7 separate regions of the Mus musculus genome follow, and all the other regions are reported to be linked to region 1. Evidence: microRNA targets listed by miRTarBase, many of them from high-throughput screens and not tested one by one. Region 1 holds a microRNA gene; each other region holds the end of a gene's coding sequence.
What was found. Region 1 holds the annotated microRNA mmu-miR-1981-5p (GUAAAGGCUGGGCUUAGACGUGGC, at 2,708-2,731, opposite strand). A microRNA usually pairs through its seed, bases 2 to 8, with sites in the 3' UTR of a target mRNA and lowers its output. Matches are read on the target gene's strand: a 7mer-m8 pairs with bases 2 to 8, a 7mer-A1 pairs with bases 2 to 7 and ends in A, and an 8mer does both.

Region 1 (4,348 bases):
TTCACCCACTGAGGTGACTGGCTTTCAGTGTCAATGACACAACCTAGAACCACCAAGGGAAAGAGTCTCGATGAGAGACTCTCTACACTGGGTTGGCCTGTGGGCTGATGTAGAAAGTCCCAGCCCAGTGCGGGTGTCACCATTCCCTAGCAGGGTGTCCTGCACTATCTGAGAGTGGAGAAAGCAAGCTGAGCACAAGCAAGTGGGCAAACAGGCATTCATTTCTCTGTTCACGACTCCAAGTGACGTGACTAACTGTTTTAGATTCTTGCCCCAACTTCCCCACAATGATGTACTGGATCCTGGAATTGGGAGCTGAAATAAACCTCTTTTTTGTTGTTGTTTTTGTTTTGTTTTGTTTTGTTTTTTTGAGACAGGGTTTCTCTGTGTAGCCCTGGCTGTCCTGGAACTCACTCTGTAGACCAGGCTGGCCTCGAACTCAGAAATCCGCCTGCCTCTGCCTCCCAAGTGCTGGGATTAAAGGTGTGTGCCACCACTGCCCGGCTTGAAATAAACCTCTTTCTCCCTTAACTTGCTTCCCTCAAGGCATCTTATTTTACCCGGGTGATGAAGACTAGAACATTTGCCAAAGCTCTGGGTTGACGCATTGGTTCCCAGTACTTTCAATTTCTCCAACATTAAGATCCAAACAAAAATTAAGGCAGTAATATCACTGACCAGTCAGATTGCTGATAAAAGTCCAAGGACTACTGAAGAAAAATTACCTTGACTGTATTTTAAAAAGCAGACACAAATGGAACTGAAAATCCAAAGGCCTCATGAAATAACGTTAGAAACACACAGCAAAACAGAAGAAAGGCAAACAAAACAACCAGCTACCCCTAAAAAATGCTGAATGGGGCCTTTTTGTCCTTTTATATTTTTTGAAATGTTTGAGGTGGAACCCGGGGCCTCTTAGAATATTAGAAATTGATGAGAGGGCCTGAGGATGCCTCTGTTGGTCATGTGTTTGCTGTGCAGGATTAAGGACCTGGAGTCACATCTCCAGCAGCCAGAAAAAGCCCAGTGGTACCCACCTCCAATCCTGGCACTGGGGAGGCAGGGACAGATGATCTCTGGAGCTCCCTGGCAAGTTCACTGGCCACTGAGAGAGAGGCCTTGTCTCAAACATAAACTGAAGTGCATCCTGGGTGGGCAGAGCCACAGCAGCCTGTGTGTCTTCAGCTTCTAGCTGTCCCTGCTTTCTAAGCTGGCGCTGCCCCAGCCACTCAACACTGCTTTGTGTCTCCACAGAAAGAGGCTCACACATCCCATGTCTAGTAACCCCACTGTACAGCTTCTACTGCCAGTATGACGTGCCTCTTTGACATCAGAGGGAACAAGGACCGAGTTCCGTATGCCTTGAGCCTGGCCCAGGCAGCTCCTAGTCACCTAGCATTTTCTGAAGACCTGGCCGCAGACAATCTGGACCAAGTTAAGACTATTATGACCACAGACTATGGATTTGGGTTAGAAATTGATGACACGGATGCAGAGAAGTGAATGTGCCCGTAAGGAATCATGTGTGACGCTTGAGATGAGAAAGACATGCAGGAAGGAACTGTGGAGACCTCTTCCTCACTCAGAGAACACATGTGTGTGCGTGTCTGAGAGTGAGAAGACAGCGGAGTGCTGGTAACAGAAGCTCTAAACTGCCTAGACGGTCTGCCCTTTGAAAATAAGTCTAATCGCTGGAGAGGTGGCTCAGGCTAAGAGCACTGACTGCTTGCTCTTCCAGAAGACAAGGGTTCAATTTCCAGCACCCACATGGCAACTCATAACTGTCTGTAACTCCAGCTCCAGAGGGTCAGACACCTTCAGGTAGACATACTTGCAGGCAAAACACCAATGCACATAAAATAAAAAATAAATAGATCATTTTCAAAAACAAGAAATTTCTATAAAACAAACTCAAAAGACAAACATGAAAAGCAGTCGATAAAGTCATTCAATGTAAACCTCTGCCCTACACACACATACACATAAACACACACACATACTATCACACACATACATACACAAACACATACACACAGACACACACAAACACATACACACATACACACACATTCACATACACACACGTATATACACACATACATACATACACACATACATACACACATTCATCCACACACAAATACACATATATACATGCATATACACACATATACATACGCACATACTCACACACAAACATACACATTCATTCACACACAAATACACACACATTTACTCACACACAAATACACGCACATACATGCATATACACACATACACACACCATCAACACACATATGCACACACACACACACACATATACAAACAAACACACACATACACACATCAGAAAAGAAGTTGGTGAGAGGTCAAAGTTCTAAAATAGGACATTGTACAACTAAAAATGTATCCGAATAGAGGATCCACCTAGAAAAATTAAAAATATGAAAAGAGGAAGAAACAGGGACTCACATCCTTGAGGGACAGATACAAATCAAAGGTGCCCCTGGGATAGCGCATAGACACCTGGTGCCTGACTGGTGATATCAACAACACGGGCGCACGCTGGTGTCCTACCTCTTCAGGGTCTCCAGTGGCTCCTTCCTGTCTATGATGCCGGTGTCTGGGTCCACTGTAGTCAGAACGCACCTGTCAAAGGCCAGGGTTAGATGGCGGTTACAAACGGAAGTGCATTCCACACCCAAAGGCCACGTCTAAGCCCAGCCTTTACCTGGGACAGCTCAACACCCTTTTCATCTCCACGTCACCAATCAGGAGTTCATCCCAAGTATCCTAGGAGAACAGGGAGAGGTGGCTTTAGAGCCTTGGTCAGGTACTACACATGACAGCAGCAGCAGGACTCTGAGAAGTCTGGAAAGTGCGAGAGAGAGAGAGAGAGAGAGAGAGAGAGAGAGAGAGAGAGAGGGAGAGAGAGAGAGAGAGGGAGGCACAGTCAAGCTCGGGACACATGGCTCACCTTAACTATTTTGCAGAACTGAGTATGGAACCCAATGCCTGTGCACAGGGGGCTAGGCAGCCAATCAGAGCACTGCCTCTCAGCGCCAGGCAGCCAATCAGAGCACTGCCTCTCAGCGCCAGGCATCTTCCTCTTGATTCACAACCTCAATCACTGATTCTGCCAGGTCAGCAAGAACAAGCCTTCCAAAATGCGCGCTTCCCAGCAGACTCCCCAGACGGCTTTCCACCACACAAAGAGAAACCCAGCCGACTCCCCGGACGGCTTTCCACCACACAAAGAGAAACCTGCAGCTCTCGAGACAAGTCTGCTCTCGCCCAAGGTTTAACTCAACCTGTGGGTCACGACCCATTTGGCAACCCTCTATCTCCAAAAATATTTGCATTACAATTCCCAACAGTAGCAAACATATTTACTGGAACAAAAGTAGCAACATGAAGTAGCAACAAAAATAATTTTCTGATTGGGAGTCACCAGGACACTCAGAGCTGCAGTTACAAATGTTTGTGAGATGGATGCCTGCCTTGTTACCCAGGTGCCAGGATCCAAATGTGTAATCCTTATGATTACACAACACTTTTAACCACATATTCTTCTCCCCAGACACCAAGTCACCTTTTGTCCGAGTTGGTAGAATCTATAAATTATATGTATACATATAAGGGCATATATACAGATCATGGGGTTATATCCTACAGGTGCCTAAGTATCTTCAATCAGGGGTTGAATGCCAACACACTGAATGGGACAAGGAGCAGCAGGCTGTGAGAGTGTGACAAGACAGAGAATACGTGACCAAGCAGAGGGAGGGAGGGAGGGAGGGAGGGAGGGAGGGAGGAAGGGAGGGAGGGAGGGAGGGAGAGAGAGAGAGAGAGAGAGAGAGAGAGAGAGAGAGATCAGCTTCGGTGAGTTTGCAGATCCCTCAGCCCCAGATCCTGTCTCTAACCTGGAAACAGATTCATGTATCAGCATGATCTCCTGCATCCACTTTGTCACGTGTCTGCACGTGACATCATCCAGATGTCAGAGGATCCTGTCTTGGTGTCTTTACAGCACCTTAAGGTCTGTAGCTATACATTTAATATCACACAGTCACATGCTTACATAGAGCTACATAAAGATTATGGTCCCTCTTATTAATTAAAAAGTGATTTAGGAGCTTGGCAGGATGCCCCACGACTGTAATTCCAGACCTTGGGGGATATGGGCACAGATCTGGGAATTCCATGACTCGGGTTATCCCCACAGCCTAGGCTACAGCCTAGGTCCATCTCTTGAAGGTTTGTGACTGATCTACTGAGACCCACTGATAATCCGTACACTCCTTTGTCTGGGCCTCTAGGAGAAATGGGGCATTTGAAGATGCCTACA
Region 2 (4,348 bases), not on the chromosome of region 1:
ACTTGAGTATGTGACCAATTGAAGTGAGATCAAGCAAGTGGAAAAAGTACATACACGTTTCATGTAGTCATGCTGAACCAGTAGTCTTCTTTCAAAATGAGCTAAGCAACGTAGTGTTTCTTTTTTATTGTATAAAATGGGCTGGATGCTTATCTTAATGTATTGCTTGTGTGTATGTGTATGTTTTGTAAGTATTCATGATAGTGTGTACATGTTGGGGGCCACAGGAGGATGTTAGTATATCACTTGCCTTGATACAGGGTCTCTCATTGGATCTGGAGGTAGCCAGCAAGCTACACTGATGCTCCTGTTTTTGTCTGGGTAAGAGGTGCTGGCCGCCACTGTGGCTTTTCCATTGTTTCTGAAGTTCAAACTCAGGTCGTCATGCTTTCACAACAAGAGCTATTACTTTTCCAACCATTTATTCAGTCCACTGTTAGTGAAAATTATGTTTGTTTGTTTCTCCAGCCTCTGTTCCAAGCCTAACCCATCTTTGTCGTTTGGAAATTCGGGCCAGTCTAAAAGCAGAGCACCTTCACTCTGACATTTTCATCCATCAGTTGCCACTTCCCAGAAGTCTGCAGAACTATTTGCTCTATGAAGAGGTTTTAAGAATGAATGAGATTCTAGAACCAGCAGCTAATCAGGATGGAGAAACCAGCAAGGCCACCTGACACAGGTCCTTTAATTCTGTTTAGTCACAAAAGACGGCTTGTGTGACTGTTTGGATTTGGTGATCAAATGTCCATGTTTACAGTTGCTTTTCCCAGTTTGTGTCTTTCCCAATATTGTGAACCTTATCCATCTTGCCTTACTCAGTTTTATTTCTAGTGCACTTTGTTGTGTATTATTTGTTTACCTGACCATTTTCTACTTTATTCTGCTAATAAACTGTAATTCTGATGTGGTGCTGGATGTGACTTCTTTCTACTTAGGATTCATGTTCACCTGTGCTAGAATCTAAGGATAGAATCCATAAATTTCCCCAGAAGAATTTATAACATCTGTCCTTTTGAATTATATTTCATTATTATTTTACTTAGGGATGAATATCTTCAATGTTTATTAAGAGGAAACTTTCCTCCATGTTATAATCTGTTCTCAGTCCTTAATTCAAACATTTTTGTGAGGTGTTGATACTCTTGCATTTTCACATGTAAAATCAGGAGTCCTTTAAAAAAAAAAAAAAGAACATAAAAAGTCAGTCATATTGTTGATCTCTCGCCCCCTAGGTTCATTCTTTCTTTATACTTTTGGCAAAAGATACCTGATTTTTAGTTTGCAAAGACAAGAACACATCTAAACTCAAAGTCATACACAGCATAAACTATTTTATGTCATCTTTAGAAGTATTTTACTGCACTTAGAATATTAATAAAGAAACCTGAAAAGGACATTCATACAGCACTATCTATAGGGAAAGAATGCACACTTTATTAATTTAATGCTAAATATAATAGCCAGGCTTCATTCAGCTCCAGAATAAGAGAGCAGCTTTGTTCCTGTTAGTCACCAATAGTCAATTATATCACATCAATATAATGTTTTTCTTAATGTCTGGATGTATTTTCAGATCGTGGATGAAATATGGACCTCAGAATACTACTGCCTTGTGAATTTTTACAACTATTTTATTTAAACCTCGAGTCAAGAAAAATCAAACATGATCAAATCAGTTATTTAGGGAATTGGAAACTAGCCTTAAGAAGGTACTAGAGTGTTGCTGTCAATATAGACAGAACAGGCTGGTTTCTAAAGGAGGCAAGCCTTCATCTCTTGCCAGCAACCTGAGACTGGGTAGATCAGCTGGTCGCATTTTGATAAGCCCTTGAAAGAAGCATAATGTCTTACTGATAACTGATTGGGAAGACAAGCTCATCTTTACATTCAAGTCTTGTTTTGTGAGGATATAAAGTTAGGTATTGAAAAGTAGGCAGAAATTCTGATAGTTCTGGTTAATAAAGATATTCCAAACTTTTAAAATTTTATTTTTAAAATAATGTGACTTTTATTTTTCAAACTCTGTATCAGGTTTTGTTTTTGCTTATGGCCAAGTGTATATAGAGTGCTTTAAAAGAGTTTACCTTTTAATGTATTTTGTTCATGTCCAAATGTATTATAAAACCCTGATTTCCCATAAGTTATTATTGTGGTTTTCTTTTTGAAGCTCTGAAAGTCAATACAGATAGCCCCTGGCTGATGAGTTTTTGACTTTATAGTAGTGGAAAGGTGACCAGCATCTCATAGAAACTGCACTTTGAAGCTTGATCGTCTCCTAAGGCAGCAATACATAGTATGAGATTCTCTTGGATTCTGATGATGCTGAGCAGTGATAATGAGTTGTGACACCTGGCCAGCCATGTGACTGGAGGGTGACTGTAGAGGGCATTAGTACTCATAGTTAAGTACTGGAGAAACCAAGAACATTAAACACATTGGCTTATATCTTCAGTGGGTGGATGTGTATACCTGTTTTTCCAGGCACATGTAATTGTGTCAGGAGTTACATGTGGGTAAAACTGATACCAGGAGGTCCATTACTTAGGTCTTCATGGGACTTGAAGCAGTTATTTGAAAACTCCTGCATTCTGATGAGAGCCAGTGGGGGCCTCAGGCATCTCAGGAACACATTCCCTTTGGGAGGAGGCAGTGTTTCTTAGTTAAATATGGTCATATTTGACAACTTGCACACACTAGCATAGTAATTTTATAATCATGCTATTTCCATTTTTCTTGCCTTTTAAAAAGAAATTTCTAAACAAACAACTACAAGGAAAACTTAGTAACTCTGACATTACAGGTTTGGTTTTTTGTTTTGTTTTGTTTTTTTGGTTTGTTTTCTCTCTTTTGTTCTCACCTACAAGGCCCAATTGCTGGGTTTTTGTTTTCAATCTATCATTTTTACTGCTTTATTAAATGACAAATGATTGTTGGTGCATAATGTCTTGCAGCAAATAAACAATTATTTTGTCCAATGAAATCCTACCATTTTAATTAGATGGAACTGTGCATGCTTTTTTTTTTCTGTAACATATGGTACAGCCTCAACTGAATTAACATCAGTGGTTCACTATGAGGTCAGCATATGTTTATATTTTTAATGAAGAATTACTTTGAATAAGTTGTGTGTAGATTTTAAATGATATTGTGGAGTTGCTTTGGTGAATAATGTGTTAATTGAAGGACATTTATTAACTGGTTACTATGCTAATCTTTTAACAAATCCTCCTGGAAATAAGGGTAATGATATTTAAGTATTTGATATGAAAAGAAAATATAGGATATTAATAAATTAAAGGTGGAGGCAGGAGGATCATAAATTCGAGGCTATGCTCGAGTACATAGCCAGTTAGAGGCTAGCCTAGGATATGGATGAGTCCTCAAAAAATAATGTGTGTCTGTGTCTGTAAGAGAGAGAGAATCTTTTCACACACACATCCATACATACATACATACATACATACATACATACATACATACATACATACATACATACATACACTGACCTCCCCATACAGAAGAAAGAAAGGAAGATGTAACTCATCCTCCCGTCCAGGTCCATTAGTTTGTCTTTGAGGTTTTTATGGTTTCAATCTATGCAGAAAGTTAAGGAATTTAAAAATATGTATACTTAAAATTAACCAATTTCACATTTTTTTTCTTGGTCCATTCTTTTTTTTTTTTAAATCATTGCAGTGAAACCTTCAGCCAAGCTAAAGTCAAGTGCTTATAGACTTCTGAAGCAGTGAGAATGAGAGAAAGAAAGAAAAAAAACTGTGTCTGCTAATTCTTTGTCTAAGGTTACCCGAAGAAAGGGAAAAAACCCAGCCTCATATTTATATAAAGAATATGGAATTGTAGGTAATACCTGATGGACGTTCTCTAGCCATGTGGTCTCTGTCCAAGGTAACCACGCAACTGCATATTTTGTGCACCACTCCAGTATATGTGCATTTATGATGGCTTTTTCTTAATGGGGGGGGGGTGTTGAAATGGTCTTACTGTAGCTAATGCTGCTCTGGAACTATAGCTCTGGTTGGCCTGGAACTCACTCCACCTACATCCCCTGCAAGCTGGGATTACAGATGTGAGTCATGGCATCTGGGTTTATAAAGTAACTTAAATTGGTACAACTAGTAAATACTGGTGTGATTTCTTTGTGTCTTGGCTGATTTTTACTGCTCAGCATGAACTGATGAAACAGAGCAGGTAGGAATTGCCATTCGTACACCAAGACCTCGAAGATATCTGCTTATGCCCCTTTTATCATCAAATGGTTTGTATATCTTCTTCACTACTTTCCTGTGTAGATAATAAAAATTTATCTGAAGTCATTATAAGGTACTAA
Region 3 (4,000 bases), not on the chromosome of region 1:
CAAAAAGGGGGAGTAGGTGGGCAGGGGAGTGGGGGTGGGTGGATATGGGGGACTTTTGGTATAGCATTGGAAATGTAAATGAGCTAAATACCTAATAAAAAATGGAAAAAAAAAAAAAAAAAAAGAAAATACACACTAGCCGGGTGGTGGTGGTACACACCTTTAATCCCAGCTCTTGGGAGGCAGAGGCAGGCGATTTTCTGAGTTCGAGGCCAGCCTGGTCTACAGAGTGAGTTCCAGGACAGCCAGGGCTACACAGAGAAACCCTGTCTCAAAAAAAACAAAACACAACAACAAAAATAGAAAAGACACACATCGTGATATTTAATTGCATGGCTATTATGTACTTTTACTGCTCTCTACTACCTCTGTAGCCCATTTGACTCAAACTCACAATGGAATGATCATTTATTTGCCAGTGGCTGAATAATACAAAATTCTGCAGAGAATCAGCAGAAAGCTAGACTGCTTTTTCAACATGAAAGCTAACGAGTGGTTTGTTGTTGCAGGAATACAAGCGCAAGTTAGCCCGAGTTTCCCTGGTACGCAAAGAACTAAGAGCCCGGATCCAGAGCCTGCCAGATTTATCTCGTTTGCCCAATGTCACTGGCAGTCACATGCACCTGCCCTTTGCGGGGGACATCTACAGTGAAGACTGATGGCCAGTCTCCTCCAGGGCCAGGACTTTGGCAGACATGGAGACAGGTTAGGTGAATAGTCCTGTAGAGTTATTTTTGTACATTGTTGAGAATGGTACTAACATAAGAAATGACAAGGAAGTATAAAATGTTAAAATGTTGGTTTGTTTTGCTATTTTATTAGTGAGTTAACATGACTTAGTTAAAACCAAGTGATGATTTCTGTGTATTAATGAACTTAATGATTATTTTCAAAAAAATCTTTTGTAAGTTTTTTTTTTGATCCAAGGCCTTGTGAGAAATTCCATGTTTCTATTTCTTCATGTATTTTCAATTACTTTTCTTTATTTTTTTTCAGTATCTAATCACTGTACACTATCTAATTCCTAATGGGAAGAACTGATCAGGAGCTGATGTGAGACTGTTTATGGGATCGTTAGAGCTTGATTATAGAAGAGACTAAATGTTTCAACTTCACCTTACTCTTGCCACCCAAATACTGGTTCTGTGTGTCCTCATGCCTTTCGAGTTTAACACTAGACATGGATGCCGTGCAGGGTCAAATAAAGCCTAGAGAAGGTTCCCCGGTAGTACTATAGTAGTTCCATCTCAAATGCCATCCCAGGATCGAAGGTCTGTTAACTAGACACTCCCTGGATCGCACTATTTAGACTAAGTGCAGTTAATGCTTTACGAATGTTGTAAGTTCTGCTGTCCTAATGAGCACAACTCCAGCTCTCCAGCTGACTGCTTCTGTCGTCAGTCTTCTTACATCAGATCCCTTTAACAAAACACCAGCTGTGGGGTGTAAAGGGAACACCAGGCAGCGACACAGTCCCAGTGCTTAATCCCTGCCCATGTCATGTAAACGTAGCTCTTAGCCTGAGCAGCTCAACAACTCAGTACCCATAGTGCTCAATTACGCAGCCCGAAACAGTTTATTTCTGTAATGTTTTTGAATGATTATATTTTGGAATTAAGCAATGCTGTACTACAGGGTAGATGTGGTGAGTTTTATATTTGTCTGTTTACAGGTGTAAATACACAGCAAATGTACCTTTATCTGTACTTGAACCTGGTGTGTTAGAGCAGGTGCATGCTCTCCAGCTTTCTCTTAAGTTCCACTGTGAAGCTGCAGGTTTGTGTTTCATGATGGCAGAGGGAGATGTTTTTCTCCTTTATTGCTTTGCATTTCTCATGTAATCGGAGTCCAAGTGAATAGTTTGTAGGACACCTTTTAGATTTCACAGGCCAGTTATACTCACTACTCTGAATGGCTTCACTGTTTCTTTCTCAGTATTAGAGGATATAGTTGAAATGAATTTCCATGTGAAGAAATGACAGGTAATTTTCTTTAATAGCCAGTAGATTTGGGAACAGTGCTTTAAACACTGGCCTTTCTCCAAAACAGAGTTACATGTATGGCATCACCCCGTCCCATGAATGTTCTATCTTCCAATGACAACTTTTGGGAATTAGGACACATTTCCTCACAGAAGCTATAGCTGTTCTCTGTGCACACCGCTGAAGCTCAACTGGAAGCCCAAACCACTGGACCTCGGATATGCTTGTAATGAGCTGACAAGTGGCTCTCGCACATCCTGAGCAGCGTTTGTCTGTCAAATAAGGGTTTGTGTGCAGCAGCCAGACCTTCACACTGGGGTGGCTGCCAGTGCTGCTATCCTTTCCTTAGGGGTAGTGATCTAAGAAAGAGTCAGCAAAGGAGATGCACATTACATACCCTGATTATGCCTGTTTTGAAAGTATGCCAAGTAAGTTTTTGTTGTTTTGGAAAGCAAAAGCTTTGTGTGTTAACTTATTTTCAGTATCTTAAACTTATTTATGATTTGCTGACACAGTGATTTATCCATCTAAACTAGATACTTTTCCATTTAAAACTAACTTATAAATGGTATACTCTTGGGAAGATATAAACTCTTTTAGAAGTTTCCTGAAATATTTTCACCATGAAGACAGACTTAGATACTCTTTTGATGCCACTATCTGATCTAAATATTTATGATAAAATGTATTATTTTTTTAAAGAGCGTGATGAGATCTGTGATAAATGCTAGTACTCAAAACCCGAATCCCCAAACCACAAGTTGTTGGTTAGCTCACTAATTGAACAGACTGTACAGTTTGTTCTAGAAGTAAGTTTTTCAGCCTTACAGTCGTTAATGTTCCTTTCTGAAAGGAAGACTAAACTTAATGGGCTTAAACCAGGTGTGGTGGTTCATGCCTTTAATTTCAGTACTTGGGAGGCAGAGGCAGGAGGATCTCTGTGAAGGCCAGCCTGGTCTGTAGAGTGAGATCAATGCCATTAGTTACATGAGTGAGACTCTGCAGTAAGAAAAAGAAAAAAAGAAATGGGCCTAGGTGAGGGGTATAAAATACCAAGCTGTAAATCATGCACATTTTCTCTCCCATGTACCGGAGGCAAATTACAAGTATGAGAGCAACCTGGTCTGGCCCTCAAGGGAAAGTATGTCACATTGTAGCAAGGTCCTGTGCTGTGAATGGACACCATTCCTCTTTTTTCCACAAACAGTGCAGAGAGCTGTCGGAGTGGCAATTTGAGCAGATTCCCGGTGCTCCCTCTGCTCCTACAATACTACAGTAAGTAAATGAGCCGTAGGGGAGCGGGGAGTCTGGAGAGGAGCTGAGCTCTGTAGCCGGCCTTCCCCGAGGAAGGCCGTCCTGCCTGTAGCTGCTGTGATAGCTGCTCACAGCGTTCTGAATCAGGGTTTCTCTGTAAGAAATCCCGTAGCATTAACAAAAACTACGATGATCCACCCTTCATGATTTTCACAGTTCAGAGGATGTTGTCTGCTGTCACTGCTGTGAGTAGCTTTGTGGTGTGTGGTTCATGAACTGGTCTGGAGTCTGGAGAGGACAGTGACTGGGAGGTAGGAGGGCCTTCCTCAGTCCCCACTCTGAAGTCATGCAAAAGCCCGACACTAGCTATTAATTGTACTAGCTATTAGGAGTTCCTCCTAGAGATGAGCCCTGCTTCTCAGTTGTGCTAGAAAAAGCTTTTGACGGTGTGAATTCAGTTCTTCTCTGTACAGAAGGGAACACTGGGTTACTTAATGGATTTGTGTATACACAGCATCTGTTGCCATCTAGTCTGCCGTGTCAAGAGCACATGGAAAAAGGATACTCCATCTTTTATAAACCCTTTTCTTTGGCTGTATCTGATGACAGTGTAAGATCCTAATAAAGTTTTATGTTCTTTTTGAAGAGTTTGTGTGTGTGTGTGTTATTTTCTGAATCCAGTTCATTGATAAAGGACAGGAAGGTGTGGGGCTAACGGGAGGGAGTTGGGAAAGTCCTGGGAGTAGTCAGTGAAGCAGAGACAA
Region 4 (4,348 bases), not on the chromosome of region 1:
TTCCATGCAGCCCAGCAGGGACCCATTCCTGAGATGGAGAGGACCAGCTCCACAAGGGGTTCCTGGAACCTCCGTGCTCCTGCCTCACATACACACAGAACATACACATAGAACATACACACACACAGAACATACAGAACATACACACAATATTCTTGTTTTTATTTTGGATTTTTTTCAAATTAGCGATTTTAAAATTTGTTGTTTCCTTCTAATTCCAGTAAATCTGACACTGGATCTACCCTAGATCCACTTTGTAATTTCTCACAGACTTATAAGTTGTAGTTTCTCGTGTGAAGACTCTGAGCTTTATTTACATGCTCTCCTCCCACAGGAAGGCACGGCCCCTCATCTAAAGGTTGGAGAGTTCCTTACAGCTTACCAGTCAGAGTTTTGGTTGAAAAGCTTTTATTTAGTGTTGTTTGCATTCATACATTGGAGTGCCCTAGATGATTTTGTGGCTGTGTGTGGCTGTGTGTGTCTGCGTGTGTGTCTGCCACACTTGACTTAGGGAAACCTTGCTTTTACTCTGCTCTGAGTAGAAGGCAGGTGGTTTTCTGATGACACGGTTTGAGGTATCTGGTCTCCAGTATCTCTTCTGGGAAGGGTAAGAGAGTTGGGATGAGGGACTAGCTGAGAAACAGTTCCCAGTTAATAAACAAAGGCCTCTCCCTGTTCTTGTTTTTGTTGTATGTGTCCAGGATTTAGAAGAATTCTGCTTTAAGTTTTGCATCAATCATTTGACAGAAGTTACCCAGACGGCTGCGTTCTGGCAAATGGATGGTCCCCTGCTAAAGGAGTTCATTGCTAAAGCCAGTAAATGTGGAGCCTTTAAGAACTGAAGCCAAGGCTGCTGGGCTAGGTGTGAGAGCTCTGGGGCACTGTGGGTGCGGTGATCTGCAGGTAAAGCCCCACACCATAGACAGTGCTCTGTAGGAATATATGAAGGATATTTGCTTCTTGTGAGTCCATTTCTTACAACTCTGTGTCTAGATATGTATGTTTTACATGTATGTTTTACATGTGTTTTTCTTACATTTGACTGAGCTTTGGGAAAGGATGAAAGTTTACATGCTTTTGTTCTTTTAATTTTGATGAGAGGATGTTTTGAGCTTGTATTAAGAAAGCCAGGAAAATATCCCTAGACCTTTGGCCACAAGCCTTTCCACATGGTCTGTGGCAGACAGGCCCTGCCCAGTGCTCCCTGAGTGCTGCTCACTGTCACCAACCTCCTGTGGGGGCATCAGCACTGTGGGGGTCTCTTAAGAAATAGTCTTAATATGCATTAAACCCACTTAAGCAGTCAAGAAATACTAGGTTTGCTGAGATGCTCTTAAGGGACAGGCACCTAGGGCTGGAAAGATGGCTCAGCAGGTAAAGGCTCTTATTACTAAGCCTGATGACTTAACTTGAATCCCCAGAATCCACATGGTGGAGAGAGCTGACTTATAAGTTGTCCCTTACTGCTACACATGTACCATGTCTGCACAAAGACACAATAAAGGAGAAAGAAGAAGAACTAAAAGATTTAGGTCCCTATAGAGAAGTGACAAGAAGTACCTATGAGAAGCTGATGGTAAAAGAGCTTTGCTTGGAGAGGAGAGTGTTACAAAAATTAGGGTTCCCCGCACCCCAATTATCCAACAGTGCTTCACTAAGGTTGTGTTTGAGACCAGCGTGCACACTACCATCCCCCTCTCCCTATAATTACTCACAAACACATTCTACATGGCTGCTCTTTTCTGACTTGATGTGATTGTTAAAGCCACCCTTCTTACAGGACTCCATAGAATGCTCACTGTTTTCGGTGGTGGGAGGAGTCCAGGCCAAAATCCATCAAAACTTAATTGAAACTTCACCTTAACCTCTCCAGTTTTGGTTGATTTTTTTTTTCTTTCTATAATTGTGTTAGGAATACATTTGTCATACGTTCAGCTAGGGCTCCCTATTCATGCCTTTCCCGAAAAGGTCATTTGTAAAATACTAGGCCAGGGTGGATGGTGACTGAGGCACCAAAGACAGGCAGGCATGTGTGTTGACAAACAAGATAAATAGGAACAAGAGCTCAAAGCCCCTCTTCCTGATCATGTTACAGCTGTTGCCTGGTGCATGGGTAAGTGACAACTGCCTCCTAGGTGGCAGTTTTCCTGGCCAAGATGATGAGTGCACATTAATCTGAACTGCTGTAGTGAATGGACCTTCTGTAGAACCTCAGTCCTGTAGACTTAGGGCCTCAAAGCAGAAACTTTAGAACATTTACTGGTGGTCTTACTTGAAAAACTTACCCACGAAAAAGCACAAATTACACCTGCAAATCCACACCCGTAGACAGTTCACCTGACAAAAACGTGCTGAGTTCCTGATCCAGCTGAAGACACACTTTTAGCTTGCTGAACAGCTAGGGTGTTTTTGTGTGTGTGTGTGTGTGTGTGTGTGTGTGTGTGTGTGTGTGTGTGTGTGTGTGTGTGTTAGTGAAAGAAAAGTCCTTTAAAAAGGGTTTGCAAATTTTTTTTAAATGCAATCTTTTTATTTTTCTACTTGGTTTTGGTTATAATCATAGAAAGCAAGAAACTATTATTGAAATTAATGTTTTCTTCTGATATAATAATGGAAGCCAGAGAAGTCACATTTCTTAAAAGATCCCAAACTGTATCCTTGAAGTTACTGGAACCAGTTTTATACTTCAGTAATTAGGATGCATTTATGTAATTTCTTGATTGACATGCTAATAAACAACCTCTGAAGGCACACTTGTACAGTTGTGGTTGTTTTCTCTTTAGTAGTATGCAGTCTGAACAAAGGGAGGAACTTGATGAATATGTGGACTTCAGTCAGAAAAGATAACCCCCTACAAAAGAGCAAGTAATGTGTGATCCTGAAGGAGAGTGGGTGCCAGGAGCTGGGAGAGGACACAGATGGTAAATGTGTAGTTTCTGTGTCACAAGGTGAAGTAGTTTAGAATGAGTAATAGTTTTGGCTATATTTTAAACTACTGAACTATATATTTTAAGAGTTGATATGGAGAAAGAATAAACAAAACTGAAAAGTTAGCAACCACTATCCTTGTGAGACATACCAGTTGTTGTGAGAACTGGACTAACAACCAATAATCTAATGGAATATTTGCAGAATTTTTGAACTAGCTTTGTACATGAGAGGGTGCATGTGCCATGACAGTCTTGTGGCGGTGACAGGAGAGCTGGTAAAAGTTAGTTCAGCTGTGTGGGTTCTGGCAAAACACTCAAGTTAATCAGATTGGTGACAAGTGCTGACCGTCTCACCAGCATTTATTTTCATATAATGGAACCAAATGGATTGGACTCAACAAACAATTGTTCTGAAGATGTTTTCTGTACAATACGGAAAAACATGAAATGTTAGCTCACCTAGAAAACAGTACAATAAACATGAATGATCATGAACCTGGCTCTAGGTCTGAAAAAAAAAATGCACCATTGAATGAGGATCCCTAACATTTACACCCACAGTGCCCTCTGCTGTGCCCTGAGCCACCATACACTTCCTTATAGAGAGTTCATGGCTGTGAGGATTTGGCTCATTTTTCAGTAATAACACAGGAGGTTTCTTTTAGCAGTTTGCCCAATATATGCCTACATTGTAAACATCAAACAACTGGTGCTTTTGTGCCGTATAATCTACTGAGATGAACAGATTCCAGCTGTATGTAAAGCAGCAGAGGAAGCACTAACATAAAAGGGTCCCAGCTGGTTCTGACGGGTGCTCAGATGGCAGTCATTCCAGTTGATCCCTCCTGAAGTGGCTTAGGCAGGCCTTGGTACCCACAGTATTATACCAGGAGTGATTCACAAGTGTGTGAGAACACATTACAAACAAGATACCATGCTGGGACACAGCTCAATCCCATTCTGTCAGGCACATTACTGTGACCCAGAGGATCATGGGAGGAAATGAGAAATGTGGATGTGAGAGGAGTCAAGGGTCAGGGGCAGTGTGGGTACACAGATCTGATGCATACTGTCAGGTGGGGAAAGTCTTAGTGCTCCACATCCCCTATTCTCCCTAATGGTGCTTGAGTCAAAGAGCCCAGATTCAAAAGCTTGGTCTTGAACATGAAGCATGCCCTTGAAATGACTGTGGCCAAAAGGACACTTCTAAAAAGATTCTGATGAAGCCCCACAAATTAGTAAACACGGAAGAGTGCATTGTGTCTTGTTACAGCCGAGAGCTGCCTGGGACTGTATTAAATAAACGGTGCACTCTTCAGTGGTTTTGACAAGCATTTATTAAGTGTGCTAAATATTGGCAATGTGGTAGTGAGCAGAAACCCAGGGTAACAGCGAGCAATGCACAGGACAGAGTCGGCTCT
Region 5 (4,348 bases), not on the chromosome of region 1:
TGCTGCACCTGGCCATGGCCGACGTGCTCTTCGTGTCGGTGCTCCCCTTCAAGATCAGCTACTACTTCTCCGGCACTGATTGGCAGTTCGGGTCTGGAATGTGCCGCTTCGCCACCGCAGCGTTTTACGGGAACATGTACGCCTCCATCATGCTCATGACGGTCATAAGCATTGACCGGTTCCTGGCGGTGGTGTATCCGATCCAGTCCCTGTCCTGGCGCACTCTGGGCCGAGCCAACTTCACTTGCGTGGTCATTTGGGTGATGGCCATCATGGGGGTGGTGCCCCTTCTCCTCAAGGAGCAGACCACCCGAGTTCCGGGACTCAACATCACCACCTGCCACGACGTCCTCAGTGAGAACCTGATGCAAGGCTTTTACTCGTACTACTTCTCGGCCTTCTCCGCCATCTTCTTTCTTGTGCCGTTGATCGTTTCCACGGTCTGCTACACGTCCATCATCCGGTGCCTGAGCTCCTCCGCGGTTGCCAACCGGAGCAAGAAGTCGCGGGCTTTGTTCCTGTCTGCCGCGGTGTTCTGCATCTTCATCGTCTGCTTTGGGCCCACCAACGTCCTCCTGATTGTGCACTACCTTTTCCTCTCCGACAGTCCTGGTACAGAGGCAGCCTACTTTGCTTACCTCCTCTGCGTCTGTGTGAGCAGCGTGAGCTGCTGCATCGATCCGTTGATTTACTACTACGCCTCCTCCGAGTGCCAGAGGCACCTCTACAGCATCTTGTGCTGCAAAGAAAGCTCTGATCCCAACAGTTGCAACAGCACCGGCCAGCTGATGCCGAGTAAAATGGATACCTGCTCTAGTCACCTGAATAACAGCATATACAAAAAGCTATTAGCTTAGGGAAAGGGTTGCTGGAAGGTTCCATGAGAAAAGGTTGGAAAGCCAACAGCGGGGAATCCCATTAGTCCCTGCAAAGAACTGTATTTACTTCGAAACCTAAAAAACAACCAATATCCGATATGCACGAATACTTCTGCTATCAAGAGTCTAGATTGGATAATTACCAGCAAGGTGACGGGAACGGAAATAAAGGTGTCCAGTGTTGCTAGTGCTATGATAGTAACTGGATGTCACTTCTTATATATCTAGGTGACTTTAATATATAGATGGTATGCACACACTCATTTGTCATGCAGGAGGGAATCTGCACTTTGACACATTTTTGTTTATTCCCTGGCCGTTACTATGGAAATAATCTGATTCTCTGACTTAATAAACAAAGTCTGAGTTGGTGGGTGTTAGCACTGGGCAGCTGGAGATCCTAATGATAGGGGAGGAGTCCGTAGTTTAGACTTAACACAGCTTTTGCCTATATTTTTTTTCAAATTATTTGATAATAATGGTTAGTGATGGAAGGATGAGACAGTATTACCTGTGTAGGGGAAGCTCTAATACTTTTCATCTTGAACATACCGTAGTTTTAAGAATTATCAAGGCTGTTGGAAAACCCGTTTTGATATGGGTAGCATTTTTTTTTTAACTTGCAATTTACTTACTGAATACATGGACCAAGACTGAGCATAAGACTCACCAGGACTGTAATAAACCTTACAAAGCAGCCAAGCCTAGACACAGCCATCTGCATGGAGGCCTCTGAGCACCAGGTACATCACACCCCTTCGGCTATGCCTCCCAGAGAGCAGAGATGGATGGGAAGCACCAGGCCCACCCCATCCTGCTAGGATTCTCATTAGCTGTGAGCTGACTGTGTCTTTTAGAAATTGGCAAGGTAAGGTATGCCATCTTGGGAGGCAGTAACTATGAAAGACTGACGAGAGGAGAAAGGTGTGTTTACATCCAGTAGCTGTCCTGCAAGGCTGGCCCTTGCACAGACAGACACACCCACATGCCCTGGTCACACTGTTGGATAGTGGGCCATAGACTGACTATAGGAGAATAACCGAGTCCTGTCCTTACTCAGGCAACGCAGAGAGCTGGCATGTGGTCAGCTATGATGCACATAGAACTTGTCTTCAGCTGGATGTGACCAAGTGTATTTCACATAAGCAAGGCCTATCAGCTAAACTGCTTTGCATATCTGAGTTTCTGCTTCCAGTAGCTATAGATTAGGATAAAAACACAGTATAAGATGTATATTTTTAATACATATGCCCTTCAGCCTACAAAATTACACACTATTTATTTACAAATGTTTTTTCAAAAATTACTCAAATCAGCCAGGCATTATGGTATACACCTTTAATCCCAGAACTTGGGAGGCAGAGGCAGGCAGATCTTAAACAATTTTTTTTTTAAGAAACAAGCAAACACAAAAAGTTTTACTTAAGTCCAATTTTAAGAAATATATAGGTCAGTTTGGTTAAAAATAATAGTAATGAAAGGAAATTTCATTGATTGAAATTTATTCTGTATTTTTCTTGAGTTATTGAGATTATTTGTAAAGCATTTTTAATGCCACAGTGACTAACAAGCATATAAAATCTTCATACCTTTGACAAAATAATTTGAAAATTAATTTAAAACATATCCTTTTTCTGATGAAAAAATATGTTGGCATTTTAAGCAAATAAGAGTAGAAAGGTTGTTTATTTAAGAGAACAAAGTATTTCCAAATACTGTAGAGTCGCTTCCACGAAAGTCCTATGGTTGTATGGTTAACTTGGTTCCGGTGTTGGCTGATCTCAATTACTGACTCCCTGTCCCGTGTTCTGTCTGTGACTTAATGTAACTGTTATCACCGCGCTTGTGACCTTTTACGTCATTGTTTTGTGTTCACCCTCTTTTTTAAAAAAAAATATATTAATAAACTAAAACCATGCTTGGTGTCTGGAATAGATTGTTCCTGTGGGCCCCGGTGGGAGTGCACAGCACTCTTTAGTGATGTAATGGGTGCTTTACAGTTCTGTAGCTAGAGTGAAAGGGTCAGCGGTGGATGAGGAAGCTCCCCAGAGGCTACAGGTTAGGGATACCGCTCACCAGCCAGGGACAGGGCGAGGATGACAGTGAGGGGCTAATCCCTGCTACATGATTCTCCCACCCCTTGCTGGTGCTTCCCATTGTGTGAGTGTGTGTGTGTGTGGTTAAATCTGTGTTTCCATACCTGTATGTAGGGGCACCGTCATCTTTATCCCACCTCCTACCCCCCCAACCCCTCCCTCACCTTCTGACCACACCACAGACACTCCCTCTAAATTCCACAGGTGAGAAGACTGTTCCTGGGCTCAGCTACAGAACCAAATGGAGAGAGCACCAGGGTGACATCCCTCGTAGGTCAGCTTCCCTGGGCCTGGAGAAGGGATCTAGCATAGTAAGTGGAGAGACGAATACAGCGCAGCGCGTACAGCGTGGTTTTTGAAAGGCGTTCGTTAGCTGGTTATCTTCCCATTTTTCAATCCCCTTTTTGGAAAATTGATTACAACGTTGAAAATAGACGGGTTTCCCAACTTACAAGCTTTGTGAATTACATCTACAGTTCTGTTTTAGGAAGAGACAGACGTGTCTGAGGGGGGCACTGGGCATTTGTGGGGCCTGTCAACCCTGTATTCAGGGTGAGGCAGGGGGATTGCACATTCCCAGCAAGCCTGATAGAGGGTGGCAGTAAACAGGGACAGCAATGCCACCTCTTGGGCATGAATGACCATCCTGTGCCGTGTAGCACTCCCTGAGGGGAGGAGGTGAAGCCAAATGGTGCTCAACCCCTGAGAATTGAAAAATCAATAAAAAGGTTTTAGTACAGTGTATCTAGACTCACGGTCAGTTTTTTTAAAAATTACTTCATCTAAATAAGCATTCTGTTAGCACAAAGAGTTGTCAACGTGGTTTTCCTAAGCCATACACACAGTATGTGAACCAGGGGGGGGTCACCTCAGCTGGGACCCCCAGCACAAGGACCCTGCCTCTAGTCAGAAAGCAATCTTAAACTCTCCTATTACAACTTTTCGAAATGCATTTGAGCTCAAATAACACACTTGAATTTTATCAACAACAACAACAACACATGTTGTGCTTTTCGCCTCCAAGTCAAAAGCAACATTTTTGGGAGGAAACGGATCGTTCGTTTGGCTGTTGAATATGCAGCTGGAAACTTTTAGGTTGCATTTCATTTGAGGAACTTGGGGTAGCAGAATCTCCTCCTTGAGGAAGGCCTGAGTTCCAGAAGCCAGTGGAAAGCATTAAACCTGCTTTGTGAGCCAGCCTTTTCCATCCCGAGGCCCAGGGCTTCCACACACACAGCTTCTCTTCACAAAGGGCCATGGGAAAATGAAGGAGCCCATTACACAAATGTAGGAAACCCTCAAACAATAACTCAAGTAAGGGGGAAAGACTGCCTCCAACAGTGGTCACGGGTGCTCTGTGTTGAACCTTTCAAA
Region 6 (4,279 bases), not on the chromosome of region 1:
CAGGTCCTTGCACCAAAATCGTGAAGTGGTATGGAAAAAAAAAGAAGATTGAAGAAAACTTTGTCCCATTCCTGATCAATGCCAACCTCTGTAGTATAACTCAAATGTTTTTTTTTTTTAAAGATTCTCAGCAGTCAATACATTTCAAGTACTTCAACACAGTTAAAATAAAAGAAACAAAAACATGGAAGACAATCATTTGCTATATTAAACAGCAACACGTGACTGACAAAGGATTTACTCTGTGTGTGTTGTTACATGTGCCCAAAATGCACATAAGCCAGATTACTGACAACAGACAGCCCTTTCTCTTAGGTGGGGGACAAGAAGGAAGGTCTGGTTTGTGTCTTCTCAAAAGAGTACTTCCCAGCCCCACCCCACGGCTTTATCAGGAGAGGCTGAAACAATACCGCCTCTGATATACAAAACCATTAGTAGTTTCTGCACACAGTAGGACAGGACCAGCATCTCAGCATCTCGGCAAACTGGAGGCCTTGATGCTTCGACAAGCAGGCTCAGCCTGCACATCTCTCTCCCAGCCAGTTTGCACTACCACAGTACTCCTGGCCAACAACTCTGAGTCTTTGCTTCAAGAAACACTTATCTCCAAATTCACATCCAGGGAGGAAGGGTAGAAAGGCATTATAAAGAATTCATTGCTGTATTTGTGTCCAGTTTGCATAGAAACAAACCACCATGAAATCTGCTTAGTTATCGGCCAATGAGCAAATTCAGCCAGATTCAGATACTGCGGGGCATCCATGGAGATTTGGAGTTCTGCTTGTTAGTGTGGGAACTCAGGTGGTAATGAGAACACTCGTTGTTACCTACTCCTCAAGCAAATGTCAGGTATGGCTCTATGTTCAGTCCATGAATACTAACATCCACCCCAGTCACAGACTAGGGACCATACATGGGGTGAGATAACTTCAGGATCTACTCAAGGACTGACGTGACTAACTCCAGGAGCTCTCTGAAAAGTAAGAGGAGGGTCATGAGTCCCTATATAGACTTGATTCATAATTAAAAATTATTTATATATATTATATATATCCAGAGATTTTATAAAAGTAAACCAAGTGTCTTTGATTCAACATCAAGATTGGACTGCATTTACAATGCATGCTTTTAACATTTTACTGATGTGTTTATCCCTAAAAAGGTAAGATTCCTTACACGGTTTAATAGAAAACCAGAAAATGCACAACAACCATTTTCAGGATAACCCTCAGAACAAATGCAATGTAAAAATGTATCATTTGAGATGGTAACAAATGACATGTAATTTGCTGCTATGACTTCAATAACAACAACAAAAAACCCTTGGGGTCGTTCATGCCTAAATACTCTAAAATCTAAAGTTTCAAGATGAACAAATGCCATGGAAGTAACATCTAGCAGGATAATACAACTCTGATCAAGATTTCAGGAGAGCGGGGTTACATTTTCGTTCCTGTAAGAAAGTGGGAGTCTGTAAGAGCCAACCACAGACCCAGTCATAGTAGGTGGTTCCCTTCTGCTTCTCCAATGCTCCCAGCAATCTCTCCCAGTGAATGTGTATCACAACTGTTGCTATACAAATCCAAAAATATGAATTCCACATCCAAACTATTATCTCAATATATAATCCGCATATAACGCAGCTTACTAAAAATATTGGAATCAAATGCCACATCAATTTGGCTAAGGAAAGTCTAATTTTCAACTCGGTCTATTGAAGCACACAGATACACACACATACATGTGGTCTAATAATCCTATCCTATGAGGGCATGTAAATGAACACTTTAAACTTTCCTTGCAGATCTATGTGCATTCCTATACCATGTTACAGATGTGTAACACCACAGAGCTGATAATATTCATATGGCTTTTGTATTGTAGCTCTAGACTCTTGTATCTGGGATGCTGACTGATGTCTGAGTAGTAAGATATCTTCACCTGAATGTCCACGATACATTTCTTGGCCCCTGACAAAGTTCTTATGAGTGGTTTTGGATTTTATGAAAATGGACACAAGGAGCGTGACAGCTTTGCCCTCTGGCTACTGTCACTTATCTGGCTTTGCACAGGTGTGCAACAACCACACACAGAGTTCTTACACAAAGACACAAATTATTAAAATGAGGAAATCCCTAACAATACTGCATAGGATGTCGACATGTAACATGCCAGCATCTGTTCCCAGCACAGTCATTACCACAGCAGAAGTTATTCCCCCTGCACACATTTCTCTCTGCTCCCCAGATTCCTTCACAAAACAGCTACATTTATTTTGAAAAAAGGGGAGAGGGGAACAACCCAACAACCCAACAGATTCTTAGAAGCATGGTGTTTTGTTTTTCTTTTAATTTGTTCTAGCCTTCTGGCTTACCCTAGATTGGTGTGTGTGTGTGTGTGTGTGTGTGTGTGTGTGTGTGTGTGTGTACGTGCTCACGTGCACGCATGTGTGTAAAAATCACATTATATACAATACAATTTTTACAGAAAGCCTGGCAGCTACAGGTAAGAGGTAGAACTACTCAAAACTATGTTTCCTGCTGCAGGAAAAAAATTCATTTTCTTTACAGTAATTAAAAAAAAGTTTAAAAAATTGACAAAAAATAAGTTGCAGGTTAGGCCCCATAATTTAAACAACAAAATCTAGGAAGAAAAATATTCTTCGATGTACTCAACAGATAAGTTCATTAAAGGGTTAAAAAAAGTTGCATAGGAAAAGGGACATTCCAGCACTTGCTACAATGATGGCAAAGGTTTCTCTACAGGGAGCGAAGTACCTTTAGTGTTTTCTGCTTTTGATAACTCTAAGATCAGGGTTGGCGAGCAAGGGCAGGTTGGTAGCAGCACTTTTCCAGTCTTGGGGATTCTGTAAGCAGGAAGGGACTCTGTCTGGAGGTCAAGGGCTGCTCTGCCAGACAGAACCAAGCCAAGCTCCAAGCTTAGGTTGTAAGTTCTTTCAATAGTTTCATAAAAGGTGATACAAAAATTCTCGTCACATTTGATCTCTGCTTGACAAGGGCGGTTTCTGTGTGTCTTGAGTGACAAAGGGATTTACATGTCGGAGGACACATCTGAATGTATGAAAACAAGCGTGTGACCCTCAAATGCTTCTTTTTTTTTTTTTTAAAGGCAAGGGACACTATTGTCTTGATTTTTACCTATGCAAGAGAGAAGCAGAGAGAGTGACTATTATTCAGCCAGTGACCAAACAAAAGATTTTAAAATACATAGACAAAAAAAAATTAGAACAGTTAACAACAGAAGTGTCAGTTTTGAGAAGGACAAACAGGTTACAACGTGGTTTCTGTTCCCTTGCTCCTCCAAAGATAATCGTTGTCTTCAGGCTCACGTTCGATTCTAATTTGAGGCACGACTTTCACTGGAGTTCTTGGAGGACTGAAGCAAGACAGAAAGAGAAACAGAAAAGGAAAGAAACATGGAGTAAAGACAATTTTCATTATCATCTCTGAAACGCCCATCGACTGGACACCCTAAAAATGTATCACACTGTTCCACCCAATGCCTACCTCTTCCATATGGGTTGAGAACAGGGACTTTTAAATGAAGCAGGGAAAGGAAATTCCAGCAAAAATGGTCCGAGGTTTCATATATAACAAATAGTCCCAAAGTAAACAAAATGAATCTACCATGTGGATAATATTGTTAGAGAGGAAGGACTAAGACAAGTACCCGCAGACATTCATAGTCCGCTTTTCTGGGATTCAGATAGGACTTATCATTTCCAGACCCTTGTTAGAGAGAAGGAAACTACTGAAGAAAGCTACCAGGAAACTCCAGGTACCCTGCATGGCAATAAAATCATAAGATCCTATTCGTCAGCTTAATGACACTGACACTTCTCATTATTCGGAAGAGTAACGCTCTTTCAAATGCTCTCCATCAGCAAAGCCTGGGTGAGTCCTGGGGTATTTTTGTAAGTCCCAGAGAAGAGAGCAAGGGATTCTGCCCATAGCCCCCACTGCTGCATTTTCCCATAGCACAAGACAAATGCTGACTTTGCTTTACCTGGGTAAACCCAGCGACTCAAGGAAAGGAATTTTATCAGCATGATGTGTGGCGTTCGAGGAATGTTGAGGATCTTTCTCCTGGGAAGAAAAAAAATATATCAAATGAAAAGATGTAGCTCTTTTTGTAAAAATGTAAAAGTAGAGTGAATATGAAAATCTCCATGCAAATCAAGGCACCTTTCAGAACTGAGAAGAGTAGGAAGATCAGGTTCCGACAGTGGCAATGAACATTGCAACATTGTATCGAGGTA
Region 7 (4,348 bases), not on the chromosome of region 1:
CATCCCCACAGATACTACTTGAGATAACGAGGTGGTTAGGTACAGTTATCCTCTGCAGTTAGCATCTATTCCTTTAAAAGAAGGAAGGAAATTAAACTCAACATGTGCTCTAAGGATGTAAACAAAAGCCACCTACAAAGAAACCTGCTCCCTCTAGTTACCAAGGCTCTGAAATGCCACTCACAATAGCTTACTGCTAGCACCCCATTTCCTGGGTGTCTCAGAAGAGCGCTGCAAACAGAAGAATCCACAGCAGACGGATCCTCAACCTCACACGCCTCCTCCCTGTGCTCCCACAACACTCTCTACACACTAGATCATCCCTGATGCTCAGATCCCTGGAGCAGACAGTGCTAGCAGTCAAGGTTAACTTCAAAATGGTTATTTTTGCCTATAAACCTCTAATATTCAATTTTGTTAAATGTGATTTGGAGAATTATGTTTTCAGTCTATTTTGAGCCAAAAATGATTCTATACCTCTGAAACACTGCAACAAATTATCCCACTAATCAAGGTAACCAGAACCATGTTAACTGCCAAGCTCTTTCCAGGTTAAAAATGCATGTTTTCTTCATGATCACTAATCAGGAAACCTATTCTCAACAGTTATTCAAAAGTGTACTTGGCACCTGTACAATAAGGCAAGCAATTCTACGTTACCCATCACCTACCCCAATCCCTCTCTGAGTGCTTATTCCTCTCCCACTTTGGTGTAAGCAGGCCTCAAACTTGAGAAATTGCCAAGGATGACTCTCGCCGTCTGACCTCTTGCCTCCCTCGCCCAGTTCTGGGACTGTAGACATGTACTATCACATCCTGTCTATAAGACGTTTAAATATTGTTTTTTGCAGTCCTGGGGATTGAACCCAGGACCTCATAAAAAGACATACAAGGGACTACAGTACAAGACATCCTGGACTATATAGTCTCTGTGGTCCATGTTGCCCTAGAGTACATCTCACTGTATTGCCTAGAAGTCTCATCTGAGACCCCCAGTGATCCTCTGAGTGGGGATTACAGGCACGAGGCACAATGCTCAGGTGTCTAATTTTTGTGGTTTTTGAGACAGGTTCACACAATGTAGTTCAGGCTGGCCTTGCACTCATGTCAACCCTCCTCCTATAGCTCTTGACTGCTAACAGGCATGAGTACCGTGCCCAGCTATACAAACACAAACACACACTTCATGCTAGAGAGACCTGCCCCAACCCTTCCTCAAAAGCCTAGCACTGAAAATGTTTCAAGTGTCTGAGCAAGGGGAATGTGGAGTAAGGGAGAGGGGAGGTCAGCAATGGGCCTGGGGTGGCTCCTTGCTGTGGCAGTGATACCTGCTCCCTTTGTCACCTGAGCACTACAGGGCACAGACTCCATGGCCACACTAACAGAAGCAGCAATGCACTCACACTAAATCAACAGGGGCAAACCTCCCCAGCCTGGTCAGTCTGCCACACTGCTTTGTGTTTGACAGAGTGCTCAGTGCTACAGAAAGCACCAGTGTCCCACATGACACAGAAAATTTGGCCAAATTTTATATAATTTAAAGAGTTTTAGGCTTGACTTTATATAAATAGATGTTTGGATGAAAGATGTTGTTACAATGACAAATAAAAATTAATTTAAAAACTTTTGAAAGTGATCCTCCTGCTTGCAGGTTTATAAAGTCCAGCCAATATATAGTTTCCATCTCAAGACCAGAGACTCAGAGCCCAGAAGCCTCTCTCTGGAAGCACAGCCTGGAGGGTGCTGCTCTGCACATAGCTTCTACCCATCAGCAGCACAGCTTCTCTCCTGAGTTTAAGTCTGCTGTCAACGGTTTTCTTCCCTGCACTTCTGCCCTCCTCTCGCTGTGTACATACAGTGTCAAAGGACGAACCCAGGGCTTCCTTGCAAGCTAAGCACCACGTTCTACCACTGAACTATGTCCTCAGGGAGTCCTTGTTAGGGTCTGAGTAATCCTGCTAGGCTGGAACTGACCCTGTGGGCCAGGCTAGTTAGAATCCCAAGGACCTGCTTGCCTCTGCTCCCCAAGTGCAGGGATGAGAGCCCGTCACTGCTCCATCTGGTCATTTCCGGGTTTTTGCTGTTATTTTGAGAAAGATCTCACTGAAGCCAAAGCTGATCTTTAACTTACAGTGGTCTTCCGTCTCACCTCCCAAGTGCTGGGATTATAGGCTGTGCCACTATGCCTATTTTTTTTTTTATACTGTATCTAAGCAATGGACACAATTTATCAGGTATTCCTAAGTCAGCCCTTCTTTGCTAATTTTTCTCTATTTTTGAGGCAGTGTCTCTGTATAGCCCTGGCTATACCAGAACTCTTTGTAGACTAGGCTGGCCTCAAACTTAGAGATCCTCCTGCCTCTACCTCCTGAGTGCTACAATTAGAGGTGCACACCATGACACTTGATTTTTCTCTTGCACTAAGATCCCACACTGTAGCCTAGGCTGACCTGTAACTCACAATGGAGTTCAAGCTGGCTTTAAACTCGTAATCTTTCTGTTTCAGGTTCCCAAAGTGTGAACCACTGCATTCAACTAGTTTAATTTTTTTGTTATTAATTTAAAACTCTTTCATTGATATGTATATATAAATGTATGTGTGTGGATATACACACATGCCAGAAAAGGGCATGATCCCTGGGAGCTGGATGGACATGTAATTGTGAGCAGCTTGACTCGGGTGCTAGGAATGGAACCCAGGTTCTCTGGAAGAGCAAGCACCACTTCTCCACCCCAGCTGTGCTCTGCTATATGTGAAGACAGGGTCCCACTGTGTAGCCTTGCCTGGCCTGGAACTTGGTACGTAGACCACATGGCCTTGAACTCAACAGAGATCTGCCTGTGTCTACTTCCCGAGTGCTGGAACTCAAGGCATGTGTCACCACATCTGGCCCTCTTTTATTGAAGGACTCTCTTTAGCTCAGGCTGACCTCAAATAACTTCCTGTTGCAGCTTCCTGAGTGCTGACATCACAGGTGTGTACTACCACGCCTGGCTTAGGGACTTCTTTTCAGTAGGTTAACTAGGGAGAACTTGTGTGCCTGCTCTTTACAACTGTATGCTATCCTTTACTTTTCCTCAAGAGGAGGCTTCCTACAACTGCATCAATCTCATAAATCTAAGGCATATTTTCAGGCCACTTGAAAAATTTCAGGTGTAACTATTAAAGGCTCTTGGTGTATATGTATTACAAGTACTATCTTAAAATCTTTCGATATAAAGCTAACTATTAAAAAAGAAATTCAACCTACAATGCCCAGTACTCTGTTTAAAGCAACGATATGAGCTGAGAGATTTGGTCCTGGTCCTTTGGTCCCTCAGATGCCCCTAAAGTGGCTCTGAGTTTTCCAGCTGCACACACAGCCTTCCTAGGCTCAGGCCTTGAGCCCGGCTATTGTTACCCTCTTAAGGACATTCTAATTTGTATGCAGTACCTGCAGTCTATACTTTCTTCTTACAAAGAATATGATGAGTGAGCACAAGTTGTAGCCGTTGGTGTTAGGATGAAATAGTTTCTATGGAAACGTTAGTGTGAGGCTCCGTGGTCCTTCCTGACTTCATGACTTGTGTTGCTCTTTCTACCTCGTCCCCTTCTGTCACCACTACAGCATCCACTTCAGCTACTTCCTCAACTACGGTGACATCAACTTCAACTCCGTTGGTCTGCTGCTGAGCCATAGCCTCCAGCCTGAGCCGATACTGCTCGGCCTCCTGCTCTTTCTTGAGGAGCTGGTGTCTGTACTCCTGGGCTCTTCGGTTGGCCTCCTGGAGCTGTTGCTGCAGTAGCTCTCTTTCACTGCCTTCCTGTAAAGCAATCAGCGGCAACACAGTAAGAATCCCGAGTATGAACTTCCCAGATGAAGACGGAAAAATGAAGAGGGCGTCAGCCCTAACCACCATGGTGTCCATGCCCTCCTCCTCCTCTGCTCACCATGGTGTCCATGCCTTCCTCCTCCTCTGCTCACTGGTAAGCATTCATTACCTTCATTTCCTCAACCCTGTTTGTCATCTCTGCCATCCTTGGTCTCTTCACCAATGGCAATTTCTCTTCTTCCTCTTCTTCATCTTCAATTATTGTCTCCTCTGCAACCTGACCAGCAGGCACAGTTAGAACTACAAGCCAAAGCACATCAATGGGAGAAAATGAGCACACAATATACAAAGGAGGCTTGTTTGATTTTAAGTAGAGAAAAGTGAATTTAATATTATACATTGGGTATGGATTCTTTTATGGGCAGGCAAGTGTTCTACCACCAAGCCACACCCCATTTCCCCTGACATGTTTTCTATGATCTCTCTTTAGTGTTTGCAGTCTCCAATCACACCGCATTTCCTAGTACACTGTCTG

Region 2: the mRNA of Asb3 is a reported target of mmu-miR-1981-5p. Seed matches in the 3' UTR shown: 7mer-A1 at 682-688 and 7mer-A1 at 1,171-1,177.
Region 3: miRTarBase lists Rprd1a as a target of mmu-miR-1981-5p. Seed matches in the 3' UTR shown: 7mer-A1 at 1,419-1,425 and 8mer at 2,879-2,886.
Region 4: miRTarBase lists Rcbtb1 as a target of mmu-miR-1981-5p. Seed matches in the 3' UTR shown: 7mer-A1 at 2,485-2,491.
Region 5: miRTarBase lists F2r as a target of mmu-miR-1981-5p. Seed matches in the 3' UTR shown: 7mer-A1 at 2,214-2,220.
Region 6: the mRNA of Slc4a4 is a reported target of mmu-miR-1981-5p. Seed matches in the 3' UTR shown: 8mer at 3,124-3,131 and 7mer-A1 at 2,688-2,694.
Region 7: miRTarBase lists Gabpb2 as a target of mmu-miR-1981-5p. Seed matches in the 3' UTR shown: 8mer at 3,164-3,171.

Annotation. Positions count from the first base shown.
Region 1 is chr1:184,819,758-184,824,105 of GRCm38, forward strand. Mir1981 (microRNA 1981) reads right to left here and starts at 2,731; the gene lies at 2,650-2,731. It overlaps Mtarc2 (mitochondrial amidoxime reducing component 2), which reads right to left. Exons shown (of 8, transcript NM_133684.4): 5 at 2,732-2,793; 6 at 2,578-2,649.
Region 2 is chr11:31,100,569-31,104,916 of GRCm38, forward strand. Asb3 (ankyrin repeat and SOCS box-containing 3) reads left to right here. Exons shown (of 10, transcript NM_023906.3): 10 at 469-2,136. The coding sequence ends at 674. Among named protein-coding and RNA genes, the nearest start is that of Gm40822, 67 kb to the right of the region's middle.
Region 3 is chr18:24,484,841-24,488,840 of GRCm38, reverse strand. It overlaps Rprd1a (regulation of nuclear pre-mRNA domain containing 1A), which reads left to right. Exons shown (of 7, transcript NM_144861.2): 7 at 510-3,879. The coding sequence ends at 659. Among named protein-coding and RNA genes, the nearest start is that of 2700062C07Rik, 16 kb to the right of the region's middle.
Region 4 is chr14:59,234,518-59,238,865 of GRCm38, forward strand. It overlaps Rcbtb1 (regulator of chromosome condensation (RCC1) and BTB (POZ) domain containing protein 1), which reads left to right. Exons shown (of 12, transcript NM_027764.2): 12 at 702-2,748. The coding sequence ends at 842. It also overlaps the pseudogene Phf11. Among named protein-coding and RNA genes, the nearest start is that of Rcbtb1, 35 kb to the left of the region's middle.
Region 5 is chr13:95,600,242-95,604,589 of GRCm38, reverse strand. It overlaps F2r (coagulation factor II (thrombin) receptor), which reads left to right. Exons shown (of 2, transcript NM_010169.4): 2 at 1-2,810. The coding sequence ends at 857. Among named protein-coding and RNA genes, the nearest start is that of F2r, 16 kb to the left of the region's middle.
Region 6 is chr5:89,234,624-89,238,902 of GRCm38, reverse strand. It overlaps Slc4a4 (solute carrier family 4 (anion exchanger), member 4), which reads right to left. Exons shown (of 27, transcript NM_001359211.1): 26 at 4,027-4,106; 27 at 1-3,396. The coding sequence ends at 4,063. Among named protein-coding and RNA genes, the nearest start is that of Gm35855, 11 kb to the right of the region's middle.
Region 7 is chr3:95,185,172-95,189,519 of GRCm38, forward strand. It overlaps Gabpb2 (GA repeat binding protein, beta 2), which reads right to left. Exons shown (of 10, transcript NM_029885.1): 9 at 3,983-4,113; 10 at 1-3,804. The coding sequence ends at 3,499. Among named protein-coding and RNA genes, the nearest start is that of Sema6c, 23 kb to the left of the region's middle.